Linked DNA regions of Struthio camelus. The protein of the gene in region 2 binds, or shares a complex with, the protein of the main gene of each other region. Links are inferred from orthologs where the notes say so. Each region holds a gene or a part of one and is shown on either strand. Other genes may lie near its edges. The genes, in order: ANXA2 and S100A10.

Region 1 (15,020 bases), on a different chromosome or scaffold from region 2:
TTAGTCAAGATCAGTTTAAGTAGAAGAGATGTGTGGAAAGTTATACACTCTACAGCTCAGTACAAATGTTAGTAGAGAGTCCTGTAAAGGAAACAAGATATGGCATTTAAAAAGGAGAGAGAAAATGGTTTGAATAATACTATACACTGAGTATATTATACACAGAGTATATAATACTCTGGTTTGAATAATAATACTTACATCTCCTTCAAGGCTAAGCTTGCTTAGAATTTCATGGACTGTAGACATCTTGAAAGAAAGCTAGAGGGGGAAGAAAGAAAAGCAAAACAAGACGACTTAAATAAATATATTTACAATTATAATAGCATGTTAAATGGTCCTGAACCACTGCATTAGAGAAGTTGGGGCAACCCAGTAAGACTGATCATCCCAAACAAGAACACTGATTTAAGAGTGTCCGAGTCACAGCATCACTGATAATGCAACAGTGAGAGGGCTTCTGTCTATTGTACAAGAAAAATTTATCTTCATTCCTTAAGAAACCATTTGTACTGCATTTTAAATATTTAAACTTAGAAAGTGGAGAATCTCCATCTTAGAGAGAGAATCAACTGAACCTGAACTCAGTATCACAAAAATCACGGAGAAGTACGACAGCCTGGTTCAGCTCAAAGCCAAAAAGGAACACCAACTAATAGCACTTCAATCAGAGGCTAAATTCCTCGGGTGCTCAAGGAATACATTGAAACTATTTATATTCATGCAGACGTTTTATAAAATCATTATTGCTGTTCAATCTTTACTACTGGACGCAGGCCACAAATGCCTCTAATATGATATGGTGCTGTAGTGGCTCCCCAGTACCCAGCAATAAGAATCACAGGACACACTACAAATACCGATTAATAATATGATTGTCAGGTGATAGGTAACAAGGACTCTTTCAAAACGACAGTTCCAAAAGGAATAGCCAATGAGACATGATAATCAACAATGTTGCTCCATTGCCAGAAAGTTAGTAATATCTTGCCTACATATATAAAAGATAAAACAGAAAAAACCCTACTAGAGAAATCATAAACATTGCAAAAACGAACATCGATGTGAAGTGCTTATGTTACAACACCCTGCTTTTTTCCAGCTCTGGTTTCTGGTCAGGGAAGTTTGCCAGAGCTGTAATACTGTTTTACTGAAAGGGTCTCTCAACTAAGGAGAAATGTTTTTCCCAAGGTTATAAGCCAGAGGCAACATTTAAGCTGCCTGATGCATTCCTAAAACTCAGCTCCCAAATTCCTCTGCTGAAGGGGGAGACACAGGGGAAAGAGTCAGCTCATGGAGAGGTAGGAGAGAAACAGTGGCAACACCTCAGGATCAGCGATACTCATTTCATCCCATAACTGGGCCTGGAATCGAAATTCCAGGATGCAGAAGCTCCCCAGGGCTCTCTCTGCCCGTCACTCTGATGCCGTCACCAGCTCCCCGTCCATCCTAGGGACCCTGGCCCAACGGCCACCCAGCCAGTCCTGCCTATGTCCTGCCAAGGGGCTTTCAAACTCCACTTTATCCCCTTGCAGTTACTCTCCTGATGATGCTGGGGCCTTCTTGGGCACGTAGTACTAACCGCTCTGGCAAGTTTCCCAGACGGAGAAAGCACACTTCTCACCACCTAACAGTGGGATCTGAAACCAAGAGCTGACAGGAGAAGAGTAAGAAGCAAGCCTGCAAGTGTTTCTAAACAGCGGAGATCTGGTTAAAAATCTAAAGCAAGAGTTTATTCTTTGTTTTAGCTCCTAAAAACCTTTCTTTTTTCTCCATCAAGCCTTTTACAGTAGTTACAAGAGAAGTACTCTAGTTGAAGTTTAAAAAAAAAAAGCCCACTCCGTCACTCAGGAGTGCCAAGAAGGATTCTGAGAAAACTGAAGTCCCAAAGTGATACTAAGGAACACAATGAGCTTATACAAAAGCTGTAAAATGAAATTAAGATTTGGTTGGTAGATATGACAGCAGCACTATATGGTTGAAAAAGTAATTATTATGAAAGTACTTAAGAACTGCAGCACCATACGTTTTAAAGACTAAAATGAAGCATGCTGTTCTTCTCATGTGCTCTGAGCATCATTTTTAAGTGCTTTTCTATACATATTCGTCCAGCTATTAAAGTGTTCACTGCTTACAGAGCAAACAGACTGTTTATTCAAATTTTCTCCCCGCTCTACTTCAATTCATCTAAATATTGCCCATTTAAATATCTGGTTGCAGCTTTTTGAAGTAATGATTTTTTTCCTCCCCTCTTTTGAGTTAGTCAAATTTAAGGCAGAAACAACAGAAACAGCTGGACTAGATTTATTTCTCATCTAATTTCTAATTTTGAAAATGGAGGAATCTTATTTTTTAACAACCGAGACTGAGTTCCATTAGTATTTTTAACAAAATAGAAAAATAAACTAGATTGCTGTATAGGATGTCTGGTAAAGCAGAAAAATCCTTACTTTTAGAAAACTTAGCAAATATTATATATATTACAGAAAATATACACACACACAGAGAACATGTATAATGTACAGAATGTATATATTATACATTCCCCTTTCAGAATGAAATGCAGAAAAATGCTTTTATAGTATAAGTGTTGTAATCACACCTTTCCTCACTTAGAACGCAGCAAGAAAACCTTTCATCTTCTGGTGCAATCCAGGTGGAAGAGTAACAAAAGTAACTCCACTTAAGGAAATATTAAGAACCCAGGGAGGAAAACGAGAGTAAAAAGCACAGACAAAGCTTCCCATATCAACCTATTATTTGAGAATAAGTATTTTTACAGCAAAAATCTAACCTCACCTTTTAAAGATAAGCAGCAGAGTTGTAATAAGGTGCTGCCTGCTTTTGGCTCTATTAACGGAGCTGGTTAAAGGGGGATGATGTATTACTTAGTTATGAAATTCTTAATGTTTATTCTTAATAAAATGAAGTGCCTAACAATGAGACCTTTAGACTCTGAAATCTTTACAACCAATATCAGAGATAAACAACTTGCAACGAGTACGTTTTTTATTCTTACTTGCCGCAAAGAACTGAAATGCATCACAGTGAAAGCTGAAGCAAAGCAATTGCAGGATAATCTTTCAAGGCAATTGCAGCATAATCTTTCACAAAGCAATCACTGAACAGCTTTTTGGAAGACTCCTATTTCTAAATTAAATAAAAACCACATTGAATCAGGCTTGTTGGAACAGAAAACTTGACCCGAGTCCAGGAACAGAACTAACACACCCTTGTTAGCTGGCAAAACAGGAATTTTTGCAAGGAACTGCAGAGAAAGAGCTTCACTGAGAGAACAAATGCATTTCTTGTCACGCTCGACTTTGTAACGCTCTCATATTTGTGAATAGACTCTCACTGTTTTCTAATAGACTGATTTTATCTGACGCAGTTTTGACAAGTTCTGGCTGGATTTGTGTATGTAAATAGAAGATACATGCACTAACTTGTTCTTCCTTACACTGCAAAGGATCAACTTCTACTTTCCAGCTGTAAACTAGCACTACAATACCTTCAGGCAAGTTTCAACAACCAGTTTTTCCTCCTAAGTAAGTCCATACCGTGTAATTCTGAATCACAATGTTACTCTACAAAAGAGATTAACATCCATTTTGAAGCCCAGTTCCCCCTCCCCAAAGGGGAATCACTGACTTGCAAGCCTGTTAGACTGGGCCTAGTCTATATTCAATACCCTGTCCTCGTAACAGTTGGAGGACAGAGGTGTGTTCAAAAGTAGCCCCATACCATGATTCCCAGGTGCAGCTCAGGTATATTAGAGCAGAAAAAAAAATCCCATGAGATCAACCAACGGAAAAAAGTGCCAGGTATGAACAAACAACTAGGTTGCTCAATAAGCAGAGTTAGCATTTTAAGAAGAACTTAATCTGCTCCTGTAGGCAAGAGATTGCACAAAGGGTGTTCCCAGACACATGAGCCAAGGAAACGGCATCCCCGGAATGAGAGAACGGAAACTCTTCCACTGGGAGCAGCTTTGTGTCGGGTCTCCAAACTAGGGCGAGGCACAGCCACGGCGGAGACAGAGGGAGAGCAGGGAGGAGGCAGAACCAAGAAGGACCAGAACGGCTGCTGGGAGCAAAACAAGGACTCAAAACACTCACTGATACACAGTGGTAACTGCAAGTACAAATACGCCAGACTGTCTCCCCCAACTATACCATAATGCTTAGCGGATCATTTTGAAGTCGCTGTTTGGAGGAAAAAAAGTAGCTTTAAAGAAAAGGATCTCAAAAAAATTACTTTAAACCATAAAATAATACTATGGAAAATGCATCTCTTTCAACCGTTTCTTCCACAGACGCTGCTAATAACCCCGCAGATGTTCCACTGCGGGAAGATACTAGGCATATGCAAACTGGAGGATCTTTATTTCTCTGAATTAACATTATCTTGTTTCTGAGACTCGATGGGGATGGAGCACATGACTGCTTTTAAATCAAGGAAAACCATTCCATACATTAATGGAAAACGGTACCCACTAGGGACGTTTATTGTAGCTAGCTGCACCAACAGAAAGAAGACAGACGAACAGCTCAACAGCACTGAAATTCCCAAAGACTCCCTCACTCTTTTGCTTACCTGTAGGGCACCTAAATATTTGTGCAAAGAGACAGCACTTGAGCACGAACGATTAACCTGGGAAAGGATCAAAAGCGCCGCGTGTAAGAAAGCAGCTCACTGCTGCCAGACTACCCCGAAAACACTTCACTGTTCTCCCAGCCAAAGCGCGCAGCAGCCGCCCTGCCGCCCCCGCCCCGCTCCCGGCCGGCGGGGAGCGGCGGCCGAGCTGACTCACGGCCAGAAGGCACCGAGCGCCCCGCAACGCCGCGCACGGCGGGGCCGGGCGGCAGGGAGACCCGCCCGGCGGGCGCGGCTCCGCGGCGCTCCGCGCGGCTCCGGCACCGCCCGGGGGGGGGGGGGGGGGGGCGCGCCCCTGCCCGGCTCCGGGGCCAGCCGTGCGTTTTCGCTGCGGGCACCAGCGCTGAGCGGCCCCTGCGCACCTTCTCCGGGACGATTACGAGATTATTTGGGGAAGTTCAGCGAAGTTTGGGCGCGGCTCCTCTTTCCGGAGCGCGGCCGCGGTGCGGGGCTGGCGGCGGCGGCAGGCAGGCAGGGAGGGAGGGGAGCCCGCAGCAGCCGCCCCGCTCCAGCCCCCCAGCCCGGCCCCGGCCGCCGCCGCGCTGTCCCGACCCGGGGCCCCGCTCCAGCCCGCACCCCCGGCCCGGCCCGGCCCGGCCCGGCGCGGCGCGGCGGCTGCCGGCACCGGCGGGGTCTCACCTGGCAAGGCAGCTCTGGCGGCGGCTCTGGCGGCGGCTGGGCTCGGCGGCGGCCCGGGCGGGGTTTTGTAGGGCCGGGAGGACCCTGCTTCCCCGCCCCGGCGCGGCGCTGACTCGCCGGCCGCGCCTGCCTCCCGCAGGCGGAGGAGGGGGGGCAGTGATGGGGTGGGGAAGGAGGAGGAGGAGGAGGAGGAAGAGGGGAGCGGTGATGGGGTGGGGAAGGGTTGGGGGGGAGGAGGGGGGCAGTGATGGGGTGGGGAAGGGAAGGGGGAGGAGGAGGAGGGGCAGTGATGGGGTGGGGAAGGGCAGGGGGAGGAGGAGGAGGGGCAGTGATGGGGTGGGGAAGGGCAGGGGAGGAGGGGGGGAGGAGGAGGAGGAGGGGCAGTGATGGGGTGGGGAAGGGCAGGGGAGGGGGGGACAGTGATGGGGTGGGGAAGGGCAGGGAGGTCTCTCTCCCATGCCCCGCAGCACCCTGCGCTCACCCCCCTCCACCCCGGGGCTGCCCAGCTCCCCTGGGAGCTCCCGCTTCCTCGCCGCCCTCCCCCCGAGGAGCTGCCCGGGGCCCCAGGGAAAGGGAGGGGAGGGCAGCCCACCCACACTTCACCCTAACTCCTGCTCTGTCCCCTGTGCTGCCGCGACAGCGGTTTGCGTCACTGCAGCCTGTACTTTGGGTTGCCCAAAACCACACCGCTGTGGCAGGACTTGGGCTCTTGCTCAGGAAACAGCTTCTCCTTCCCAGGCGGGCTGGGGACAGCTGCGCCGCGCGGAGCCGAGGCCTGGACACGTCACCCCAGATTTCCCCGGAGCAGGGCACTCACTGCGACCGAGTCATCCCTGCCTGGCTTGCGCTCTCCTGCTCTGGCCTCTAGCAATCAGCAAAGCGCCGTCCTCACTGCCTGCAGCTCTGGCCAAGCCTGCTTTAGACCAACAATATTGAAAAAATTAAGATCTCTTTGGTGTGTAAATCCCAGTACTTTTCAGCTGCAAGAAGTGTAAATCACATGTGCTGCAAGCAATAAACATGAGAAGAAGGCGGCACTACTTCTGCCCCAAGCTCGGCAAAGATAAAGCCCGAAGGATTATCTGAGCATAACTGAACTAACAAGCATACCACAGCAAGGAGAGAAAAAAAAGAAAGAAGTGCCTCTGCCACTCTCACTAGTTATCTGAGCCCATACACCACACCGTCACAAAAGCAAGATCCAGTAAAGAAGCCAAAAGCAGCCAAGATGCAAAAGATCTCTGTTTGGATCACCTCAGCTTACTGTTTCACCACAATGAAGTGGCCAATTGACTGGTGACCATTAGGCAGTCATTCAGGCCGTCATCTGGGGAATGCCACCACAGAGCGGATCTGCTTATGCAAGGAGATATTTGCCTCTGCTACAAAGGATTTTTTTTTCAGGCTTTAAGATAGAGGGGTCTTCTGGCAGAGAGAGGGCAAGAAAGTTTTACGCTTGACCAGGAGCATAAAACCAGGGGTGGAAAAAGCAAGCATGCACAACACAGACACAGGAACGCGGGCTGAGACACGGAGTAACTGTTGGGATAAAACAAGATCACAGATCAAAAAGGAAGAAATATTATTACACTGGACTTTGAACATCACATGAAAGCAAAAGAGAGCAGAGGGATGAACCCGTCATTGCAGCAGGAGAAAATGATTTTAATAGCCCTTTTCCGAATAAACCAAAATGAGATGAAGAGGATGGCCACAGGAAAAGCGTGTCACGGCACAGCATCCTGTCAAACTGACCGGACATCAGTGACAGTGGTGCATTAGTTTAACATGCTAGTTTTCTTTTTGGCAGGGCCACTGGGGTTATTTCTGTGTATTACTGAATCTGTTTTTAAAAATTAATTCCTGGGTATTCCAGTTATACCAGTGTCTGCCACTAACTACTTAATTAAACAGATAATTTCCCCCTGCTTTTCAGGTTTCTTAGAAAAATCACCAAAGACTTGGAAAGGTGATTACAGATCAAAAATACTTGCAGTCCTAGAAGTAACAGCTGTTCTGTATTGCAATATTCACAGGGGGTTTAAATAGAGATAAATATCCGAGAAGCCAGAGAGCCAGCTTGCCTACTAACGGCTGCACGATCTCTCAGGGATGATTTCTTCCCTCATCTCTTTCCAAACGTTCTCAAAGCAAAGCAGTGGAAGCATCCCCAGAATATGCTGAGCTTAAAGAAAAATAAAGTTTCCACATATGCAACATATTACCAAGATGCAGCATGTATGTTGCACTGTCGTATAAAAACGCTGAGCCATATACTGAGTTCATTCAATCTCAGAGACGAGCACCTTCACTCTTGTAACTGAAGGTCCATTTACCTTTCAATGCTTTACTGTAGTCTGTTCCAATGACAATACAAAACCCATTTCCTTAGAAGACTGTTCTCTTTCTAATAACTCAATACTACTTAAAGTTTGAAATTGCGTAGCTCATATACCACCTTGGATTTTAGTTAACTAGATCTTAACATGAACATTTTGCAAAACCTTTGATATCAAATGAATTCTTATATCTACATTAACTACATCATAAAAAGATTTTTCCAGCATTTCCAACAACTCCCAGAAAGGGAATCAAGATGTTGTCTCTAATACCTGACTTAACCATCAGTTATTCAATCCGAGAATCCCACATTCACCTCAGTGAAAGTCTTCGGTTTAAAATAGACAGACAGGGATTCAACAGCCTCTCTGAAGTTAAACCAGGGACTGTGGAAGTGATAAAAGAGAGAGAGAGAGAAAGGAGAAAAAAATACTAACTGTATTCATAGTCATGAAGACATGAAAAATATATTAAAACATATGATGAATTCCCTCTTTTGGTCTCTGCTTATTGAGCCCAGCTGACATCAAAGCACTAGTACCAGTGAAGGAATCTGAGTGGCACGAACAGCAGAAAAGCCATTAACGCTTCTGGCAGAACAACCAAACACGTCCTAATACCAAGGCCTGGTGATCTTGCCCATGGAAATACTACACATTCTTCATATTGTTGAGGAAAAAAACACTGCAACACCCACGAGCTGAAGAAGGCAGCAGCCAGACTGTGCAAACAGAAAAGACTTCTGCTATCTGCCAGAGAGGAAATTAATTCAGTAGAAGCACAGCAGCCAAGCGCCTGAATCACTTCTAAAAATTATACGTTTAAGTCACGTGGGTTATTTTTGAAGATTTAACCAAAGCTTAGAGGATGTGTAGAGCACCTATCACAATGGGTTCTCATCCATGACCACCACTCCCGAGCACGGCATCAGAGTAACTACCATTAGCGAAAAGCTGGGACCAGGCCTGCGGTTATCATGAGCCCAGGATGTCTCTGCACCTTCCTCGTAGATGAGAAACATGCTGCAACTGGCTTGCAGGCAAGGCAGTGCCCAGAAAGGTTTTCAGTTTGCTCTCACATTGCTTAGTCTCCACAACCCCTTAAAATATCTGCATAGAAGGTCAAACAACCTGCAACTTCTTCAGCTGCAGTTACTTACACGTGAGCTCCCGCTTCCCACATGCTGACCGCAAACATCAGAGAGAGTGAGCACTTTTGTCAAATGGAGCTCCCCAGAGTCCCGAGGATGGGAAAACAGATGCAGTTGTGCTGATTTCTCATTCCTCCCTTCCGGCAGCTTCCTGCGAATGTGGTTCATCCCACAGTCTTCAGTGCATGCCTCTAGGTCCATTTACTCCGTCTTCTCAGTGACGTTATCACCACCGACTCTGCTATTGTCTTGTTCCTGTTTAATATTGATTGATACTAGTTTTCTCTTTGTTTACTCTCAATTTAATACACCTAAGCTCTCCCATCTCACCAACACCTTTAGCTTTTCTTGTCATTATCACCTTAGCGTGTTGTACTATTAGAGACCTGATGTGTTTAACTTGAGCATTCAATTTAAGCTCTCCTTCTGACCCAAGCATTCTCTCTGTAATTACATTAATGGAAATGGGGTCACTCCGGCTCTCAAAAGATCTCTACTCTTTCTCACTTTGGTCCCTGATTATTTGGCTCCATCATCTACACAGATCTTGCTTATACTCTTTCAGGATGCTTGCTACAAAGAATCAATGATGGATTTACATTGTAGTTAGGAAGGCCACAATTCTGTCCATATTTATTGGCTACTTAAACTTTTTTCTTCAATGCCCCAAAAAAAAAAAAAAAAGAGCAGGAGAAAGGACTCAAAGGACTTTCTGGTTTAGATGTGGCTGAGCCTGTATGTACAATGTTGCTTCACTGAGTGTATTGTGAGAGTATAATATAAACACAATTTTGCTTAAGTATGATCAGGCAGGCCTCTGGGTATTATTTTTGCACCTTGGTTATTTGGTCTAATTTGGAAACTCCAATGATATAAACAAAGCTACTGTAGTAGCCCCCATGTACAATGAAAGTAGTGATAGATCTGCCGAGTAGATGAATCAATGGATCAGAAGGTGGAGCTGAGTCCAAGCCATCTTGGGGGCAGAACCAAAACATTAGATCTGGAAAGGCAGAAGCAAAGACTGTCTCAGAAATGCAGTTGAACAGTATGGGGATTTGTTACTGGCAATTAAAATGATCACAGGTTATAAAGAAAGTTAATAATATATAGCCACCCAGGTTCCCAGGATAATAACCTCGCAAGGTTATATCTATAGCTAGGCACAAAGAAATACTGCTGAAAGATACTGCTCACTAGACTGTATTAGTAAAAGTCTGTAAACGTTCAAAGTGATGCAACATTTTTCACTAACACCTGCTACAATTTACCTGAAGTTTTACAGAATTGTAATTCTGCTGTATGTTTTCAAATATACATTGCATACCAAAGCCATCTTTTATCTAACAAAGTACCAGAAAACCAGACCTCTTAAGTGTTCCACCTAACAAGCTAATCCCTGGGATCAACTCCATTCTGTGCAATGTAATTTCTACAAATACATGCACGTTCCTGTACACGTCATTCCACGCTTAACATTCAGTTACTTGAGACAAACCCTTTTAAATAAGAGCTAGACTTTTCTCTGGAATGATCTTGTGTATTAGACATATTGCACATATTTTGTTATACATGTATTTTACAAATGAAGCATTATAGTAAGTAAGTAGTGAAGGTAGTATTCAGTTCGTATCACAGAAGTTCTCCCTGGGCACAGGGGCAGGTGGTGTGCTTAGAAAGAGGAAACCTGGATTGTATGCCTTGCAGTGCCACGGTTTGCTGGGTGATCTCAGTCAAATCACTGCCTTCTCACTTAACCAGTCTGCAACTTGTATATTTTGACTGTTAACTCTTCAGGGCAAAGCTTAAGTGTTGCACCTGCTAATGAACATGCACACATGCATGAAAAAGTATGTATTTTAGCAATCACTAACTGAAGATGAGGAGCCAGGTTTTATGGTTTACAGTTGGCCTCTCACGCAGAATCATAAAGTGCTTTATACATTGCATTCGGACCTGACAGCAAAAACTTTTAATGGGTAGTAAAACATCTACTTCTCTCACCATACCAAGGTTGTGTCTTGCTTGTGACTTCCAAAAGTCTCCTCTTACCTTCCAATACCCTTTTAGCACTGGACTTACTTTCAATTACTTTTCTACTCTGTATACTTGCAAATTCACTTCCATCTGCTGCTCATCATCCCTTCTCTGAGACTTCCTCTTGTGTTTGACCATAACATAGCTTGAACTCCGCTTTCCTTCCAATGACTTTCCCTGTCACTGGCGGAAATTACACCGTCGTTCTTATCCTTAAATCTTACAACCTCGGTGGATCACCCTAAGTCTATGGGCAACAGGGAGCTCGCCTAGATCAAGGCGAAGATCAAGAACAAGAAGTCTGGGTGATAACAGATCTGCTTCAAGAAAAGGGAGTACGAAAGCAGAATACCAGCTGAAACTGTAATTAAGAGGATTCATTCAGAAAGGAACTCCTTCAAGTATGCACACAAGCTAATGATAAAAAAGCTGTTTCAGGGCACATATACAGTCTAGTTAAAGTCACCACCAAAAGCCAAAGAACACATCAAGGTTGAATGACTGTGGTGAAATCTCATTGCGCCAGCTGTCCGCTGTTAACAGAAAACAGCATGGAATCATCTACGCTCCAGTCACAATGTTCAAAAGGAAGTAATTCTTCATTACTCTGACCTAGCTGATACAAATAATACAAATTGGTCTTCAAGATGGGCCAGCAACTTCAGGTATCCTGTGACCAAATCCAGGCTATCGCATTTTCCTGCCAGCCAACAGCTAAGTCAGAGGTATGCATACTCATGCGGCAAAGAGAGACTCAGTGAGGGATATGTATCATGAACAAATGATAACCAAGCAATTCAGATACTTTTCTGTTCTTTAGTGTGTGTGTGTGTATGTGTGTGTGTATATATATATATGTATGTACATATATATATATATATATATATATATATATATAAAACTGCTCTGGCACACATTTATCACAAGTATTTATACCATCCAGAAATACTCAAGCTTTGTTTTCTAAACTAAAATGCTAACCACTAGAATCATGGTGTTTCAGTGCACAGGAGGGAAGTAATAATCTGGTGTCTGACTATGAGAGGTTGCCTAGAGACATACACAAACAGAAGTGAAACACGCTTGCCAAATTCCTTGCACTGGTATCAGCAGCATGAACACACTCAGCATCTTTGCAGTGAATGAAACAGCCACAGGACGTACAAACAAACAGTCGCTGCGTGTGTAACCACGTTTCAGTGAATTTTCTTAATCCTAAAGGGATTTCCTGATGCTCTGCTTGATAACCAATTGCCTTTTTATCCTAAGAGCACGCAATCTCTGATACCACAATGGCTGTAAAGCGTAGCTCAGATATCACTTCTATTCAACTTCATTTTCTATTTTCAGCTTACGACGAGTAACTTCAATCACAATTTAGTCTACTCAGGGGCTGGAGAGCTGCAGTTCCACCTGAAACTAAATACCAACCTGTCTGTGGTCCTACATGCATTAATAGGTTAAAAAAACACACCTCACAAAACCGCTACGGTGAGTTCAGCTCTCCCAGCAGTATCAGCATAACACTGGCAGTATATACACAGACTACCAGTATATTACAGCGTTAAGAGAGATTTTGAACCCATTTAGATGACACAGTACTTAAAGTGATCATAGCTGCCAGCTCTACAATAGCATTCCCCAGACCGCCAACACACTGTAGGAAACATTACTGGCGCACGCAGAGTCCCTGACATCATCAGGAACAAAACAGCATCAATAATCACTACAGAGCTTGGTCTCTCTTGCTAAAGGCGTAGAACCAGCTATAAAAGGGAAGCTGCCAAAAATCCTCAGGGGAGTTTTTCCTAGGAAGAGGGTTAAAAGGTTTCATTTAAAATCAGGTCCGCCCTGTTCTACTGTCTCCCACTATTCTATGTTTTTTCCACATCCCTGACATAAACAGCCCCATGTTTTGGGTAAACTTCTGGCCTCTGCCAAAACAAAGGGGAGGCTGTCTCACCTTAAGTAAGTTCCCAAGAACTTAGGGAACAATTCTGAAAGTTTCAAGGAGCCTAATTAGGCACCATCTTAAAACAAATTCTCAACAATCCTTAAACAGTGTATTCCTATGCCAAAATTGTAGCATTCTGCAAAGAATTGCTCCTTTTTAGTTAACAACATGCAACCTTTGAAATGGACCGTGAAAATTAATTACAATATAAAATCACCTTCCAGTTAAAGTTCACTGACCAAAATCTGCATAATATTACTACAGCAATATGGAACACACCTGTAAATCTCAGTTAAAATTAACAAGTCTTTGAAATAGCAGGAAAGTTGGAAGGTTTAAATAAATCAATTCTGTTTAAGTACAGAATAGCACAGAACACTTAGGATTTTGAGCTAGTTCTTACACAACCAGAACTTCACTACCTAATTAGGGTCAGCCTTTGCTGCACTAGCTGGGGAACAAATGATGTCTTGTGACATAAAGGAATGTCACAAATTCAAAAACGGTAGCTTTCTTGATTAAATCTGACTAGGTACACTGATGTCTTTTTCGGTCTTTCAAGTAGCATCTTATATATAACTGTGGACCACATTTAAGGCAAAGTAACTTAATTAAAAAAAAAAAAAAGTTGATTCAGTGAGAGGGAATGGCAGTTATGAAGAGATTCATTTCTGCTAGGCAGGCTAAGACTTGCTTTTCCAGGTCAGAAGCACACACTTGAATTCTAAAACCAGATACTTCTGCCTTTAAAGGATTAGAAAAACGTATCAGTAGCTTGTAGTTTTACTGTGCATGAGCACATGTAATGATTAACAGTTTCATTAATATTTGCTTTCACATAAGCCTCCAATAAATGCTTTCAGAGGAGCTGAACAATTTTTACTGCTGTGTCCTGCATGCTAGTGGCTAGTGCTCCCAAAGGGAACAGCTCTACAACCTTAAGGAGATGAAGGGAAAGGCTGTAGTGATAGAAAAAATAAAGATGGTTTCTAAACAGGTCTTCAACACTAAGGCTTACTTTCCTGATATGACTACTGTCCAGGAAGTCATTAATATATCAATAACCAGCAACCTTCCTAGTCTGTATGGAATAATTGAGTTTAAAGCAGCAGAGAAAGAGACTGCAAGACTAGCTAACATGGAGAGACAGACAGCTGTCTTCCTTCCTGTGGAGTTGGGAGCTGCACCAAAAAAAGCCTTCAGGATAGTTTTTTTACAGAAATAGAAAAGCTAGAACCCAAAATCCAAGGCACAGTTCGACATGTGTGCGTGCACAGAGTAACATGAAGCCACAAGAAATTATTTGGTATTTAAAAGCCAAAGAAATTTGTACAGTATTTTATCTTGTCAATCTATTTGGGCGGAGGGGAAATCTTTTACAGCTGCAAGACAATGCATTCTTTTGATAAATACGATGAAGTACCATGTGAGATGTGTATCTTCCCTGGAGGAGGCAGGAGACAAACTTATTTATTCATACACCTGCATATAAATCTATTGCTCGTTATTAAAAAAAAAAAAAAAGGCTACAATGACAGCTCTATTGACTTCCTAGTTTCTCTTTCCCCACAGCCACTCATATCAATGTAATGCGCTCTCTAGATTCCTTGACCTAAACATGCTGGCTTTTGAATTAATCAAGTCAGTTTGATCAAATTTACTGAGTATTCTGCTTAGGTTATCCACAAAGATGCCAAAGAATTTCAATTGTGATATGAGCACTTACTGATTTTTGACTACAAAATCCACTCAAAGTAGCACCTGTAGCTATCTAGCAATTATACTTCTGTTTTATTGTATTACTCTCAGATACTAACAGAGAACGCCCAATAGTTACAGGAGACTACTGCACTCCTCCTGTGAGCCAAGGGAAGAGAAGTGCACAAATGCAGTGCTGAATGCATTACCTATGCAGTTCTGAAAAGAAAATAAAGGGGGGGGGGAGAAGAGGGGGTTGACTAGTCAGGTAATTTTTAACATGGCTATACCATCTGCTTGGTGGAGGAGGTAAGAAACAACGGGATCCTGACAACTACTTTCTTTACTCTTTTATGCTTGAATTTTAACAAATATTTCACAAGTATGATCAAGTGCTCCGTCTACCAGGCAGTATATCCCAGAAAAGACAGACGGAAGAGTGACTTGGTTCAGCAGAAATTATTTTTGCTTTCTTCCTTTTTACTCTGAACTGCTTGTGCAAAGATTTGTTAGGTGGAGTTTTGCACGTAGAGACAGATCAATTAC
Region 2 (14,341 bases):
CCCCCAGCGCCGAGGGGGCGCTCGCCCCGCCCCCGCCCCCTCCCCCGTGACCTTCCCGTGACCTTCGACCCCGCCCCGCGCTCCCCTTCCTCACCCCGAGGCACCGCTTCCAGCGCCGCGCCGGAGCGTCCTGACGTCACGCGCCCGCCCCGTGACGTGCGTGACGGCGAGGGCACGCCCACTGCCCGCCCCGCGCGCCCGAGGGGCGGGGCCGCGCGCGCCGTTGCCGGGGCGGCGGCGGGGCCCTGCGGAGCCCTCGGCGCCCCTATGGAGCCCTATGGAGCCCTGTGGGCACCTATGGGCGCCCCTGTGGGCCCCTCTACACCCCGGCACACCCCTCCGGACACCTGTAGACCCCGCTACAGCCCCGTGGACCCCTGTAGGCTGCCCCATAGGGCCCTGTGCGGGCATCTATAGACCCCTGTGTACACCACAGACCCCTATACAGCCCTGTGCCAGCCCAAAAAAACTCCGTGGGCCAAAAAAACGCGATGGACCCCTATAAAACCCTGCACAGCCCTGTAAGAGCCCTATACAGCCCTATGCATCTCCGCCCAGCCCTGTCCGGGCCCTATACACAGCCTTGTAGGGGGCCTGTACATCCTGCACAGCTCCCTACAGCACCTATAAACCCCTACACGTCCCCATACAACCCTTAGGAACCCTAAGGCCTTTACAGGCCCTATAGCCTGGCCTTTACAGGCCCTATAGCCCCCTAGAGACCCTGTACACCCCCATACATCCCTGTACACCCCATACATCCCTATGTGAGCCCTGTACACCCATATCCAGCCCTATACGGGCCTATACAACCCTATACAACCCATATAGCCCTGCTCAGGCTCTAAACAACTCCATATACACCTATACACCTCGCACAGCCTTGTATAGGCCCTATACAGCCCTCAGAGCACCTTTGTGTCCCTATGAATGCTCTACATCACTACACAATGCTGTAGACCCCTATACACCCCTATACACCCCTGCATAGCCCTGTATGTCCCTTATATCCTACACCCGGCACAGCCCTGTACAGGCCCTATACAACCCTAGGAATCCCTATATAGCCCTATACACACTGCACAGCCCAGTATGGGCCCTGCACAACCCTATACCCCCTCATACACCCTGCACAGCTGTCTATGGGTCTTATACACCCCTATAGACCCCCTACAGACCTGTGTGGGCCTTTCACCCCTAGGGACCCCTAGAGACCCTGTAGAGGCCCTGTATGAGCCCTATACACCCCTACGCACAACTGTAGCTACCTATGCAACCCGCTCAGCCCTGTGCAGGCCCTAAACACCCCTATAGATCCCTATACATTCCTGTGTGAACCTCATACAGCCCTATTCACCCCATACACTCTGCACAGCGCTGCATGAATCCCATATGTGCCTAAACACCCCTATACACTCTGCACAGCTCCCTACAGCCCCTGTACAACTCTTCATACCCCTATATACATCTCTATACCCCTACACACCCTGCAAAGTCCTGCACAAGCCCTATATATCCATATATATCCCATGCAACCCAAACAGCCCTGTGTGGGACCTATACACCCTTATACACTCCTAGAAAAAGCTGTAAACCCCATACAGCACACACTGACTTGTATAGCCCCTATATACCCCTAGAGACCTCTTTACACTCTGCAAAGCCCTATGTGGGCCTTATACACCCCTACACACTCTATATGCCCCATACACACCTACAAGGCCCCACAAAAATCCATACAGCTATACACACCCCTATAGAGCTCTTTACACCCTGCAAAGCCCTGTACAGGCCCTGCACACCCCTACACACTACTCTATGGTTCTCTATAGCACCTATAGGCCCCCTATACACCTCTGAACAGCCCTGTACAGGTCCTATACACCTCTACAATTTTCTGTGGCACCTATAGACCCCCCTAGACACCCCTGCTCAGCTCTTTACCAGCCGTGTACACACTTATGTACCCCTATAGAACCCTGTACAGCCCCTATACACTGCTGTACACCCCTGCACAGTCCTTACAGATGTCTATACAGCCTCTGAACACCCCCAGACATGGGCCTATACAGCCCTGTACATCTCTCGTCCATCTGCACCCCTGCCCCCTGCACACCGCCTTGCACATCCCTGGCTGGGGGATGTCGACACCCCTTGGTCTGGGGGCACCAGCTCTGGCACCCATTGGCTCTGGCACCCACCAGCTCTGAGCACTCCCCTCCCCCCCACTCCGTCGCTCCTAGGCTCCAGCACCCATCGGTTCCGGGCCCCCCTTCCCCAGCTCCAGCACCCTTCAGCTCCAGCACCCTTCAGCTCTGGGCTCCCCTTCCCCAGCTCCAGCACCCCTGGGCTGCGTTGCTGCTGGGCTGCTGAAGCATCTGCTGCTCTGGCACCCGTGGGTGGTGGCGGGGCCGGGGGGAGGCAGGGGTGACTCATGCGCAGCCCAGCCAGCCCCGTCGCTGCAGCAACCACCGCTGTTTGGGCCAAACACGCTGAATCACCGAAGCCAGGCGCCGCCGCGGGCAGTGGGGCCTCGGGGCGCCGGCCCAGGCGCCCCACGGCCCAGCAGGGCAGGGATGCCTGGGTCCGCTGCATGCCAGTGACCTTGCACATATGCACGTGTCTATGTGTGTGCATGGGCACGCATGTGTGTGTGCATGGGTGAGTGTGCATCTGTGTATGCATGTGTCTGTGAACACGGGTGCGCATGTATGCAGGCACGCACATGCATCTGGCTGAATGCATGCACATGCATGTGAGTGCATGTGAATGCATGTGCATGTGAATGCATGCACGTGTCGGCATGTGTGTGCATGCAAGTGCACAGTCACAAGTGTGGGTGCACACGTGTGCATGGACGTGTGTGGCATGTGCATGCATGCGTGCGTGTCCCTAGCTGTGCAAGTGTGTGCCTGCAGGCACACATACACTGGGGTGATTGCATACTTACATGTGTGAACACGTCTGCACAATGTGCACGCCTGTGCACATGGGTGTGCACACGCGTGTGTGCACGCACACCTGAACACACTGGCGTGCGTGTCAGTGTGTGCACGGATGTGCATTTGCACCCACCAGGGAGTGAGGTGTCCCCAAGCAGGGACCGCCCAGGGACACCACATCCACACCCGGGGGGGTGACAGGGACCCCAGGGTGACCACACAGGGACGGCAGCCCCAAGGGAAAAGACCCCTCCAGCATCGTAGAAAACACACCGCAACTGGGCAACTTTATTGGGGGCGAGCGGGGGAAGAGGGTGCCGGGCGCAGGAGCCCCCTGGGGCGCCGGCCCCAGCTCCCGGCCCCCTCACTTCTTCCCCTTCTGCTTCATGTGCACCACGAAGTAGTCGTTGCAGGCGATGGTGAGCCCGGCCACCAGCGAGAAGAAGCTCTGGAAGCCGACCTTGCCGTCGCGGCACTGGTCCAGGTCCTTCATGATTTTATCCAGGGCCATGGGGTCCTTCTGGTTCTGGGGGGACGGAGAGAGCAGGGCGGTTAGGGGGGAGGGGGCCGGGGCCCTCACCCTGGCGTCGGGGCTGCGGCAGGCAGGTCACAGGGGTGCCTCCCGCGGCCCGGCACGTTGAGGGGTCGGAGGCCAGTGCGGTGTTGGGGGGAGTCCGACCCCCGCCCCGCGCCACGGGGGGGTCCAATGGTGGCACCGTGCCAGGAGGGGTTCGGCACCGCGCCGTGGCGGGGTCTGACCCTGGCACTACGCCGGGGGGTGGGCGGGGGTCCGGCCTCACCTCCAGGAAGCCGGGAAACTCCTTCTCCATGAGCACCCGCAGGTCCTCCTTGGCCAGGTAGTTCTTGTCGCCCGCGTACTTGTGGAAGGTGAACATGAGGGTCTCCATGGCGTGCTCCATCTGGGACGGCATGGCGGCGCGGGGCTGCGGACATGGGGCGCGCCGTCAGCCGCCAGCCCCCCAGCCCCACGGAAACCCGCCGCGGGGCCCGCCGCCAGCCCGCGCCCCGTCTGGCTCCGAGACCTTTGCCCGGAGCAGGGCGGGCTGGCACGCTCCCCACAGAGGCCGCCGCCGCTCGGTGCACGTGTGGGGGGTGCCCGCCCTGGTGTTTTCCACCCTGCGAGCAGGCAATGACTCAGCTCCAGTCCCGGCATCCCGGCCAGGACGGGGGGGGGGGGGGGGGATGCCCTGCAAGTGCCCCCACCCTGCTGCGGGGCATCCCAGCGTGGGGAAACTGAGTCACGCCGGGGAGGCGCTTCGGGCACGCGGCACCATGGAGGATGCAAAGCGCTCCGTGCCTCAGTTTCCCCATCCCGGCCCCGGACCGCAGGGTCCCCGCAGAGGCACCCAGCAGCAAACCTGCCTCCAGCTTCGCCCCGATGCGGCTAGGGACGACCATCCTGGCAGCTCCCACCGCCAGCCCCTCCCCGCAAACCCGGGCGGGGGCCCAGGCGTCCTGCCCTGCCCCGCTCCCTGCGGCACATTTCGGGAAAGGAAACCGGGGCCTGGCAGAGGTCTGGGGCTGATGCAAGCCATGCGCGGGGCACACCCGCTCCCGCGGGACCGCTTCCTGCGCGGTCAGCGCCAGGACTCCTGGTTCCCGCCCGCCCTCCCGCCTGCCTCAGTTTCCCCTCCCGGCTGCAACGCGAGCAAAAGTGTCGGGGCCCGGGCCAAGGCCGGCGTCGCGGCCGGGGGGGACGGCGGCCCCGCCGCACCCAGCGCCGGCCGCGCCATCTGCTTTCGGAGAAGCTCCCTGGGAAGGAAAACAGGAACTGGCCCCGCTCCGGTGCCCGTGGCTCGGAAAACTGGCCGGAGCCGCCAGCCGCGGGCGACGGGCCGGCCGGCCCCGGGGCGGCACGGGGGCCGCCTGGGCAGCCGCCCGGGGGTGCCCCCAGCCCGCCGCCCCCCGCTTCGGGTGCTTGGCCGGGACTTTGTCCCCCCCCCACCGGACGGCGCAGCGCCCGCGCCCCTGCTCCCCGCCGTGGCGGGTGCTGGGGCCTCGCTGCGAACGCGAAATATGCCCTAAATCCCCCCCCGCCCCACCCCACCCCTGCGGGGGGGCCCAAACGCTGGGGGCGCGAGGGTGCCAGCACGGGGTGCAGGGAGCCCCAGGGAGGCGGGTGCTCCCCGGCGTCGTCCCGGCCCCCGTGTGCCCAAGCTGGGGGGGCGCCGGGGTCCCCCTCTCGCGGGGATATGCCTGGGGGGGCCCCCCCGGGTGGCCGTTTCTGGGAGTCCCGCTTTGGGGGCAGGATTGGGGTCCCCCCCTCTAATAGGGGTGCAGGATCAGGGTCCCCTTGTACTGGGGGGCCAGCCTGGGGTGCCCCTCTAACGGGGGGCAGAATTGGGGTCTCCCCCTCCCGGGGGCATTCCTGGGGGGGTCCCCCTTTAAGAAGGGGCAAGTTTGGGGTCCCCTGCCCGGGGGGGGCATATCTGGGGGTCGCCTCAAATGGGGAGCGCAATCGGGGTCCCCCTCTAACGGAGGCGTACCGAGGGGGGGCCCCCTCTGAAGGTGGGGCAGGATTGGGCCCCCCCCATCGGACCACGGCTGGTGGGGTTCCCCTCCGGAGGGGGGCCGGAGCGGGGGGGCCCCTCCGAGGGGGGTCATGCCCGGGGAGGAGGGGGTGTCCCACTTTGAAGGGGGGCAGGATTGGGGGTCCCCTCTAAGGGGGGGGCAGCAACGCGTTCCCCGCAAGGGCGGGCCGGGATCGGGGTCCCCGCCGAGGGGGCGGCGCCCGGGGGTCCCCCCCGCCGGGGCCGGTACTCACGGAGCGGCGCGGCGCGGCGCGGAGCGGAGCGGGGCAGTGGCGGCGCCCGGGCGCGGTGCGGGCTGCCGGGGGCGGTGCGGGGCGGCCCCGCTGACTCAGCGCCCGCCGCCGCCCCCCGCCCGGCCCGGCCCCCCCCCGCCGCCGCCGCCGCCCTTCGGCCCCGGGCGCCTCCTCCGCCCCCCGCCCGGAGCCGCCAGCCCAGCCCGCCTCCGGCCAGCCGCTCCCCCCGCCCCTCTCCTCGCACTGTCCGTCTGTCCGCCCTGCCCTCCGGCCTGCCGTCTGTCCATGCACCCGGCCACGCACGTACCCTCCATCCATCCTGCCATCCATCTGTTCACCTGGCCGCTCACCCACCCATGCGCGTACCATCCGTCCACCCAGCCATGCATGTACCCTCCACCCGGCCACGCACCCGGCCACGCGTGTACCATGGGTCCGCCCAGCCACCCAGCCGGCCACCTGGCCACGCACGTACCATCCATCCATCCTGCCATCTATCTGTTCACCTGGCCGCTCACCCACCCACGCACGTATCATCCGTCCACCCTGCCCTCCGGCCACCCACCCAGCCATGCACGTACCATTCGCCCATCCACCCATCCGTCCACCCAGCCATGCACGTGCCATCCACCTGGCCATGCACCCGTCCATGCACGTACCCTCCATCCATCCTGCCATCCATCTGTTCACCTGGCCGCTCACCCATCCATGCACATACCATCCGTCCGCCCTGCCCTCCAGCCATGCACCCGGCCATGCATGTACCCTCCATCCATCCTGCCATCCATCTGGCCATGCACGTACCATCCATCTGCCCTGCCCTCCAGCCATGCACCCAGCCATGCATGTACCATCCATCTGTCCATGCACCTGTCCATGCACGTACCCTCCAACCATCCTGCCATCCATCTGTCCACCCGGCCATTCACCTGTCCATGCACTTACCATCCATCCATCTTGCCATCCATCCATGCACCCAGCCATGCACATACCATCCATCCGTTCGTCTACCATCCGTCCACTCAACCATGCACGTACCATCCATCCATTCATCCACCCATCTGTCCACCCAGCCAAGCACCCGTCCATGCACATACCATCCATCCGTCCTGCCATTCGTCTGTTCACCCAGCCATGCACCCATCCATGCATGTACCATCCATCCAGCCATCTGTCTGTCCATCCAGGCACCCACCCGCACTTGCACATCCATCCATTCATCCACCCGCCCACCTATTCAACCACCAATCGACCCATCCATCTGCCCAGCCACTTATCCGTCCATCCGCCCACCCACTCATCCACTTGACCACACACCCACCCATCCACATATCTGTCCATCCATCCATCCATCCTTCCATCCAGGCATTCATCCATACCCATCCATCCGTCCACTTATCCACCTGCCTGTCCATCCTTCTGTCCATCCGTTCATCCACCTACCCATCCACTTAACCCTCTGTCTGTCCCTCCCTCCCTCCCTCCCTCCGTTTACCCTTCGATCCAACCATGCCCCCGTCCATCTGTCTGTCTACCCCCAGTGTCCCTGTCCCCCAGGCTGCACCCCCTGCCCTGTTCCCAGTATCACCCCCAGCCCCCTGCTGTCCTGGCCCTTGCCCACCGCAGAGGACCCCTCCCCAGCCCACAGCAGAGAACGGGACAGCTCATCACACCCACACTGGCAGCTGCTGAGCCCCAGCATGCCAAGGCCTGCAGCAGAGAACGGGGCAGCTCATGACCCCCCCACCCTGCACTGGGGTTCCCTTCCTCCCCCCAGGGGACCTTTCCCGGCCTCACAGGGCTCCCACAGCGCCTTGCACGTGGGGGTAATTAGGACTAATTGGGTAACGAGCCCAGGCACAGGGTTCAGGGCCCCGGGGCGACGGCTTTGGGTGGCAGGGAGCCCGGGAGCCGCTGCGCCGCCCCCGCAGCACCCCGGGGCGTCCTTCTCCCAGCCAGCCGGCGCACAGGGCGGCTTACGTAGTGGGGTGAATCCGCGTGGAGCCGCTGGGGTGGCGGAAGGGCACCCGGGGGGCACCCAAACCCACCTGCTCGCCCTCCGGGGGGCACAGGGACCCCTGGGGCTGAGCCCCCCAAACTTGTGCCACGTGAGAACGGGGGGGGTGCCCATTTCCTGCCTCAGTTTCCCCACCCGGAGGTGGGGGTGACCCCCCCCTTCCCCAAAGCGCCCTGAGGTGGAGGGGGGCGGGCTGGGCCGGGGGCAAGGGCTCCCCAGCACCCATGGGGGCTGAGAGAGGGGCGAGCCCTGTCCCCAGGGTCCCCCCAGCCCTCAAGGGACCTCCCCTGCCAGACCCTCCCATCCACCAGGGAGCCTCCAGCCCCCCCAGCCCCCCCTCCAGGGACCCCCCTCCCCAGGCCTCCCCACCCTGCACTGCCAGCGCTTCCCTCCTGCCACTCTGCCCCCAGGCAAGATGGCGGCGCTCCCTCATGCTCTGCAACGGGCGCGAAGCCGCGCCCAGAGGGTCCCCGAGCGCCCTCACCCGACATGGCGCCCGCACCCCGACGTGCCCTTAACGGCGGGGAGGCCGGCCGGCAGCTTGCCAGCTTGCCCTCACCCGACATGGCGGCGCTCCCCTATGCTTCTGAGGGGCGCTGAAGCCGGCCACCGGTGACCCGGATGAGCCCGCCCGCCTGCCCTTAACCAAGAGGGCGCCTGGCTCCCCAGCTTTCCCAATGGGCGTGAAGGCGGAGAGAGGTGAGCGGGGGCCCGGATGTGGGCGGGGCCCTGGCGCGCGAGGGGGGGCGGAGCCAGGGGGCCCGGATGTTGCGTCGCGCCGGAGCCGCGGCGGCCGCCTGCGAGCGGGGAGAGGAGCGGACGGAGCCAACATGGCGGCGCCGAGCCTGAGGCGGGAGTGAGGGAGGCCGCGGCGCCCTCCAGCCCGGGCAGCCCGGCAGCGCCGGCGGGGCCGGGGCCGCGGCCCGGATAGCGGAGCAGGGGGCCGAGCCGGCGGGCATGGCGGGGGCGGCGTAGGGGAGGCCTCGGCGGGTCCCAGCGGGGGTGAGGGCAGAGGCCCAGGCCGCCTCCCCCTTCAGCTCGGTCGGGCCGCCCGGCACCGGAGCAGGAGAGGCCTCGGCCCGGCCCTCGGGCATGGGGGCCTAAGGGGGCCGCTGTGCTCTCGCCGGCGGCCGAGCCGCCGCCCTCCCTCCTCCTGCCGGAGCCCCCCGGGCGGCCCTTCCCGCCGGGCGCGGGGGGAAGGCGCTGCTGGGAGAGGCCGCCCTCTGCCCGCTCCCCAAACCCCCCGGATTTGTGGCTTTTCCTTGTATTTTTTTTTAGGGGGGAGGGGAGGGAAGGGAAAGGCAGATTGACTTGTGGGGGAGGAAAGGTTTGTCCCTGAGCAGCACTTGCTGGACTTTCGACCAAGACACTTAAAAAGCTGGGCGTTCCCCACCTTCAGAGGAGGCCAAATTTGCCTGGCCAGGGAGGAGGAGGGAAGGCAGGAGCAGAGCCGCGCACGCACCGGCGTGCGGGAGCTGCCGAGCTGGTGCAGCATGTGATAATAAAAGGGAGGACGGAAGCGAGCAGAGTTTAGGAGCAAGCAATGAAACGTTAACTGCCTTCTAGCTTCAGAAAACCCTATTTTGATGATTTAGTTACATATTTTGGGAGCTTTAATTTCTGGGAGAGTCAGAGTTTTTATTTTTAGTATTTAATGCAAATGTAGGACAGCGCAGCTGTACAATTTGGGAACTGAGAGTGGAGAAGCTGGAAGAGCTGCTAGCTGTGTGACAGACCAGCTTACCGCTCCATCTCCAGGCCCAGCTTTCAGAGAAGGCTCTCTCCTGGGAGATAAGACTAGTGTTAAGGAGCTGGTGGAGAGAAGACAAGCACTAAAAGTTGTAATTGTGAGTAAATCATGAAGGAGAAGGTATGGGCTGAATTTTAAAGTAACCTAGTTCAGATTACCTTCTCTTGGCTTTTATATTAAGGTTTCTAACTTAACCCAATTCAGTTTCTGGAAAAAGGTGTTGTATTAAGAAAGCAAACTTAGATTTAAAATATTCTGAACAGCCTGCCCATCTCCTTGGTTTGTGAGGGTGGCATAAAGTGCTGCTGGTAAGAAAGAAACAGTCGAATTCTTCAAAAATGGTGTCTTTAAAAGAAATGACCTAGAGAGTGCAAGATTGGTTCTGGACCTTCCTCTTCCTCCTCCCCCATGTCAATAAATTATTTTAGGGTGAAGTAGGAAAAAAGAAGGTTTAGGCATCAGAGTTGTTAGAAAAAAATCTCTTGGGTGGCTTCTGGCAAGTCTACCAGCTTTAACATTGAACTCTGAATTTGGAAGTTAGGCTTCCCTGATATAAGAGCCATATGTGAAACTCTTTGTAGGAGCTTAAGCAGTTTTATTGGGTAGTTTATTTAAAAAGTCAAGGAAAAAAGGGGATAGAAGACTTCTTAAGAATTCTTGTTTGGCCACTGTGTTCAAATTGCCGTACCGGAACGGATATAAACAAGACAAGAAGAGCTTCTCAGTAAGGTTGGTTTTTGTATATGTATTTTTTTTCTAGTATGCTCATGATTCACCCATCCCTCTCGTCTTCCTGTAAGGAACTGCTAGCATAAGTGATAACGTTCTGCCTTTTGCTGACTTCTGCTTTGAGTGATGAGCGACTGCCTTGGTGTCAAATGAGTGTAGCCCAGTGACGTGGACAGTGTTTCATACTGGATGAGCCCTAAACCCTCTTAAAATAAGAGCCTTGATTTAGGAGGGTAGTAGAGTTTTCAAGCAGAACTGATAAGGGGGTTGCTAAAAAAGAGTCTGGCTACAACAGTGCAAAGCAGTTGCTTTCTTTGCCTTCTAGAATTGGAGTGAAGGCTAGTACAAGAATTCGTGGAACTTGGGACAGTATTTCCGTTGGGACAGGTAGGGGGAGAAGAGGCTCAGTCCTCTATGCGGTGCACAGAGACCAAGCTTGCTATATGTTCAGATTTGTATCTCGAGATTGATGGACGTTTTAACAGCCTGTGGTAACGGGGTTGTGGTTGGCCTGACTTTCTGGACTTGAAAAAGTTTGGGAAGCTTTGCTGTAGTCAAATAGTGGGTAATTCTGAATGGGGGAGGGCTGAGTAATCCTGCTCAGGTGTCTTTTTGCTGATGGAAACAGGCATATTGATAAAGTCAGCTGGGCAGTGTGTACTGTCCTCCTGATAAGCTGTTGAGCGTGGTCCAGGGCTCTGATCGTTGGCGTGGGCGGCCAGGATCTGTCAGGCCCTGCCACTGACTGACTGTGACGTTGGTCATAACGCCTGCATTTCGGTTTCCATGGCTTGAGCGTTGTGTCACGTGTTGTTACGTATTTATGTAGGGAAGGCTCAGGGAGAGCGCACGGTGGTGGTTGAATAGCTCCAGCTCAGCACTGATTGGAGTTCCCTCTCAAGAAAAGGTACTATTTCTGGTTTCTTCAACATGGTTTTGATTTCTTTTCTACTTCAAGTTGGTGTCTGGCCCTGATGCTGGCTAAGCTGTTTTTTTCTCTTTGAGCAGTGTGCACAACATAGCTTTTAACCAGCTCTGGAACTGTCAGTGCTCCCATAAACTTGGCCTGTGTCCGTGTCAAGTGAGTCTAGCGCTTGGGTGAACGCTGGTGGCTGCTTGGCCCTTGGCAGCAGCCTGAGTTAACCCTGGGCTGCTTTTATGCTGTTGTTATGGCCCACTGGGTACTTGCCTGGCTGAGGACTCTCCTATTCTTTCTTTACAGCCCACTTCAATATTTTCTGTACTGTTTTCTTCTTTTCTCCCCCTGTGTTTCTGTGTGCGGTAGCTCAGGCTGAACTCCCACCTGGTGGTGGTGGTGGTGGTCTGTTTGTGCCTCTCAGGCTCTGCTTGTGGCTGAAGCATTGTGGGAGAGCGTTCAGATGCCAGCAGTAACCAGAGAGATCTCTTTTTACAGGGGTCTGTTCCTGGGGCACCCTGACGCACGTGTGTCTGGGAGCATGGGACTCCGATGCGTGGAGAGGCTTGGTGCGCAGTTGGGCTGTGAAAACCAGCTGTTGTCTACATGGGCTCGCATTCGCTGAGAAGCGGGTCAGGGGGAGGGCATTAGATCGGCATGTGAAATCAGGGTTGTAGTTTTTACGAGATTCCTGGCTTTGCCACTTGGTGGTAGGAATTAGAAGAGGGAATTAATTGATGTGAAAAGCACTTTCTGCATTTAAAAAAAAACAAAAAAACAAAAAAACCTTCACTCCCCAACCAAATCTACACATCAAAAAAAATCCCACCTCAAAACAGCTGATAGGACTATTTTTACATCTGGTTTGTCCTCATGGGGTTACAAATAATTTGTCTAGTGACGTAAACCGTATTTAAATGTAGCATGGCCGAATACTTCCGTGAGAGCCTTAGCCCTTGTCTAACGTAGCTCCAAGGGCGGTTTAAATACATGGTGCTTATCTGACACTGTACACAGCAGCTTCTTTCTCCTGGGAATCTTGTGCCTGTATATAATGTTCAGTGTATGGTGCAGACATGGCAGAAGCTTCTAAAGTTACTGCTAAACAGGTCAGAGGGTTTTTTTTTAATTTATTTTATTTTTTTTAATGGCCAGGCCTTGCCTCTGGTAGAGTTTCTAGTGATGGCAGTGTAGTTTTCAACTGCAGCTGCAGATAAAATCAAGTGCACTTTTCTGGACTGGGACTAGTCTGGTCTGCTCTAATTAGAGTAGAAACTTTTAGATGATTTTTCTGAGCTATTGACATTATTGTACTGGCTCAGACCCACTGTTCTGTCCCTAATGCTGACCCAAATACAAAGTGATCCAAAAGAAAGGGTCAAAAACCTCCAAACAGGACGATTATGGATTAATCTTATTTCTTCTCAAGTCTCTTTTGGTGATTGCTTTACGCTCTGTGCAACAGCAACTATTTATATGTGCTCTTTTCTAACTAATCTCTCTGTCTTGTCCTCTAATTAATTTGTCAGCTACCTCTCCCAAGTGTACAGTGTTTGGTTGCGAGCGTCTTTGGACAGGAGTCGAGGCAGTCCCTCCATGTTGTGTCAGCCGTGCTGTGAGCGGAGGGCTGCGGGTTGTCGTGAGCAGTGCCTGCTCGTGTGCTGTCCTGGGAACTGGGAAGGTGCGCTAACTGTATGGCTAATTTTTTGGATCTATGTTGCTGAGAAACATGCAGGAATCTGGTTGTTATGTCAGTTCTGGTTGTTATATCAGTTCTACTCATCTGGTGGGTTGAAATATGAAGCTTGGGTATATTTAGGAACTGTATGTTAAATATGTTCCATTTCTGGCCGGGTTTGGGGAGCTGATTGGGGCAATCTATCCTGCAAAATGCTACCCTATTTCTTACGTTTTAAAGCTCCATTGTATTCGGAAAGGGTCCAACATCTCAAGCAATATGGAAAGGAATATTTTGAAAACAAGCTAGTTTTAGCTGCTGTGGATGTCTGTCAAATCATAAAATGCTCTCCCAGCCTTATATATAACAAATACTTTAGTGTGTTAGATCTCTCTGCGCTTGCTAGCAGTGATACAACATAAAGGAAGAAATGCCTGAGTGCTTTTCCCTCCCTTGTGCAAAAAAAACCCCTCCTAAGCCAAAGGTAGGGTGCTGTTCCCTTCCCAAAAAGCGATTGTGACAGTGGAGGAGAAGGGCCAGCTGCTAAGGAGAGTTGAGGCAGAGATTCCCGATGCTGGCACTGCTGCCCTCCTGTGAAGTCAGAGGGGTTGACCAAGCAAAATTTGACACTTTGTGCTCAGAAGAGAGTGTGAAAGGCAGTGAAGGACTCGGTCCTTTATGGGTCAGCTGGGGTGATGGGTTGAGGAGGTTGCTAGGCAAGACATAAAAACGAGTTTGTTTTTTTTTTTTTTTCCCCTTTCCTGTTCTGCTGATCTTCCTGTGTCTTGGGGATTTGGGGTTCTCTGTGAGTTCACCTAATCCAAGGTTGGGGCAAAGTCTCTTTACAGTTTTTGAGTAGTGCCTAGAGCCCAGAAGCATCCTTCACTAGTCTACCTGGTGAAACTGAGATGCAAACAAGTAAGTGTGTCATCATGCCCTTTGGGGCAGGGATAAAGAGTTTGACTAAGGTTTTCTGGTTGCTCTGTCACTCTTAAAGTCTATGTCTACTTCAGTTAGAAACGCTTAGTCTAGAAACACTTAGTTGTCTGTTTAACTTCCAGGTGGAGATGGAGCTGTTTCTAACCCGGAGTTGTTGCAAAGAGCCCAATTCCAGCCCTGCAGAAAAGCAGCAGCAAAGTGACTTCAGTGGAGCAGTTCATACGCTTAGCTTTTCACAGGATGAGAGCCCGAGGCCTGTTCTGCAAAGGCCCAAGCTCACGAGGAACTTCATGCCTCGGAGTAGTTTCGCTGAAGTTGAGTAGGGTGCGGGTGGATGTCTCTGCGCCGGCTAGGTTTGTGGCATAGGATTGCTGTAATTGGAAGAGACTGGGGAAGGTGGGGGATGTCCTCCTTTTTTCTGTCTGGGTGGTTAAGCTGTTTTCCCAGTGTAGCTGGCTTCCTCTCTTTGTGGGGGGGGTCTTTCATAGCAACAAAGAGGGAGGAAGCAGGGTGTGTTTTGTGTGTGTGTTTGACTATAACCACAGGAATTGTCAGGAGGAGAGTTGGGGCGAGCAACACAACTGA

Evidence for each region.
Region 1: the proteins of S100A10 (region 2) and ANXA2 are in contact, whole or in part, in a crystal structure (PDB 4FTG), measured with the Homo sapiens proteins. The link is inferred for Struthio camelus from reciprocal best matches to the Homo sapiens genes S100A10 and ANXA2. Residues at the interface, in NP_002957.1 of Homo sapiens: Phe39, Gly41, Phe42, Asn45, Gln46, Ala51, Lys54, Ile55, Leu79, Ala82, Cys83, Tyr86, Phe87, Met91; in NP_001002857.1 of Homo sapiens: Val4, Glu6, Ile7, Leu8, Lys10, Leu11, Ser12, Leu13.

What each region holds. Positions count from the first base shown.
Region 1 is NC_090953.1:19,868,822-19,883,841, forward strand, and holds the start of ANXA2 (annexin A2), read right to left. Parts: upstream 5,852-15,020; 5' UTR 5,296-5,851; intron 4,654-5,295; exon of another isoform or gene 4,597-4,653; intron 262-4,596; 5' UTR 250-261; coding exon 202-249; intron 1-201. UniProt on the Homo sapiens protein: Calcium-regulated membrane-binding protein whose affinity for calcium is greatly enhanced by anionic phospholipids. It binds two calcium ions with high affinity. May be involved in heat-stress response.
Region 2 is NC_090971.1:403,703-418,043, forward strand, and holds S100A10 (protein S100-A10), read right to left. Parts: upstream 4,528-14,341; 5' UTR 4,499-4,527; coding exon 4,322-4,498; intron 3,887-4,321; coding exon 3,743-3,886; intron 3,469-3,742; coding exon 3,307-3,468; 3' UTR 3,204-3,306; downstream 1-3,203. UniProt on the Homo sapiens protein: Because S100A10 induces the dimerization of ANXA2/p36, it may function as a regulator of protein phosphorylation in that the ANXA2 monomer is the preferred target (in vitro) of tyrosine-specific kinase.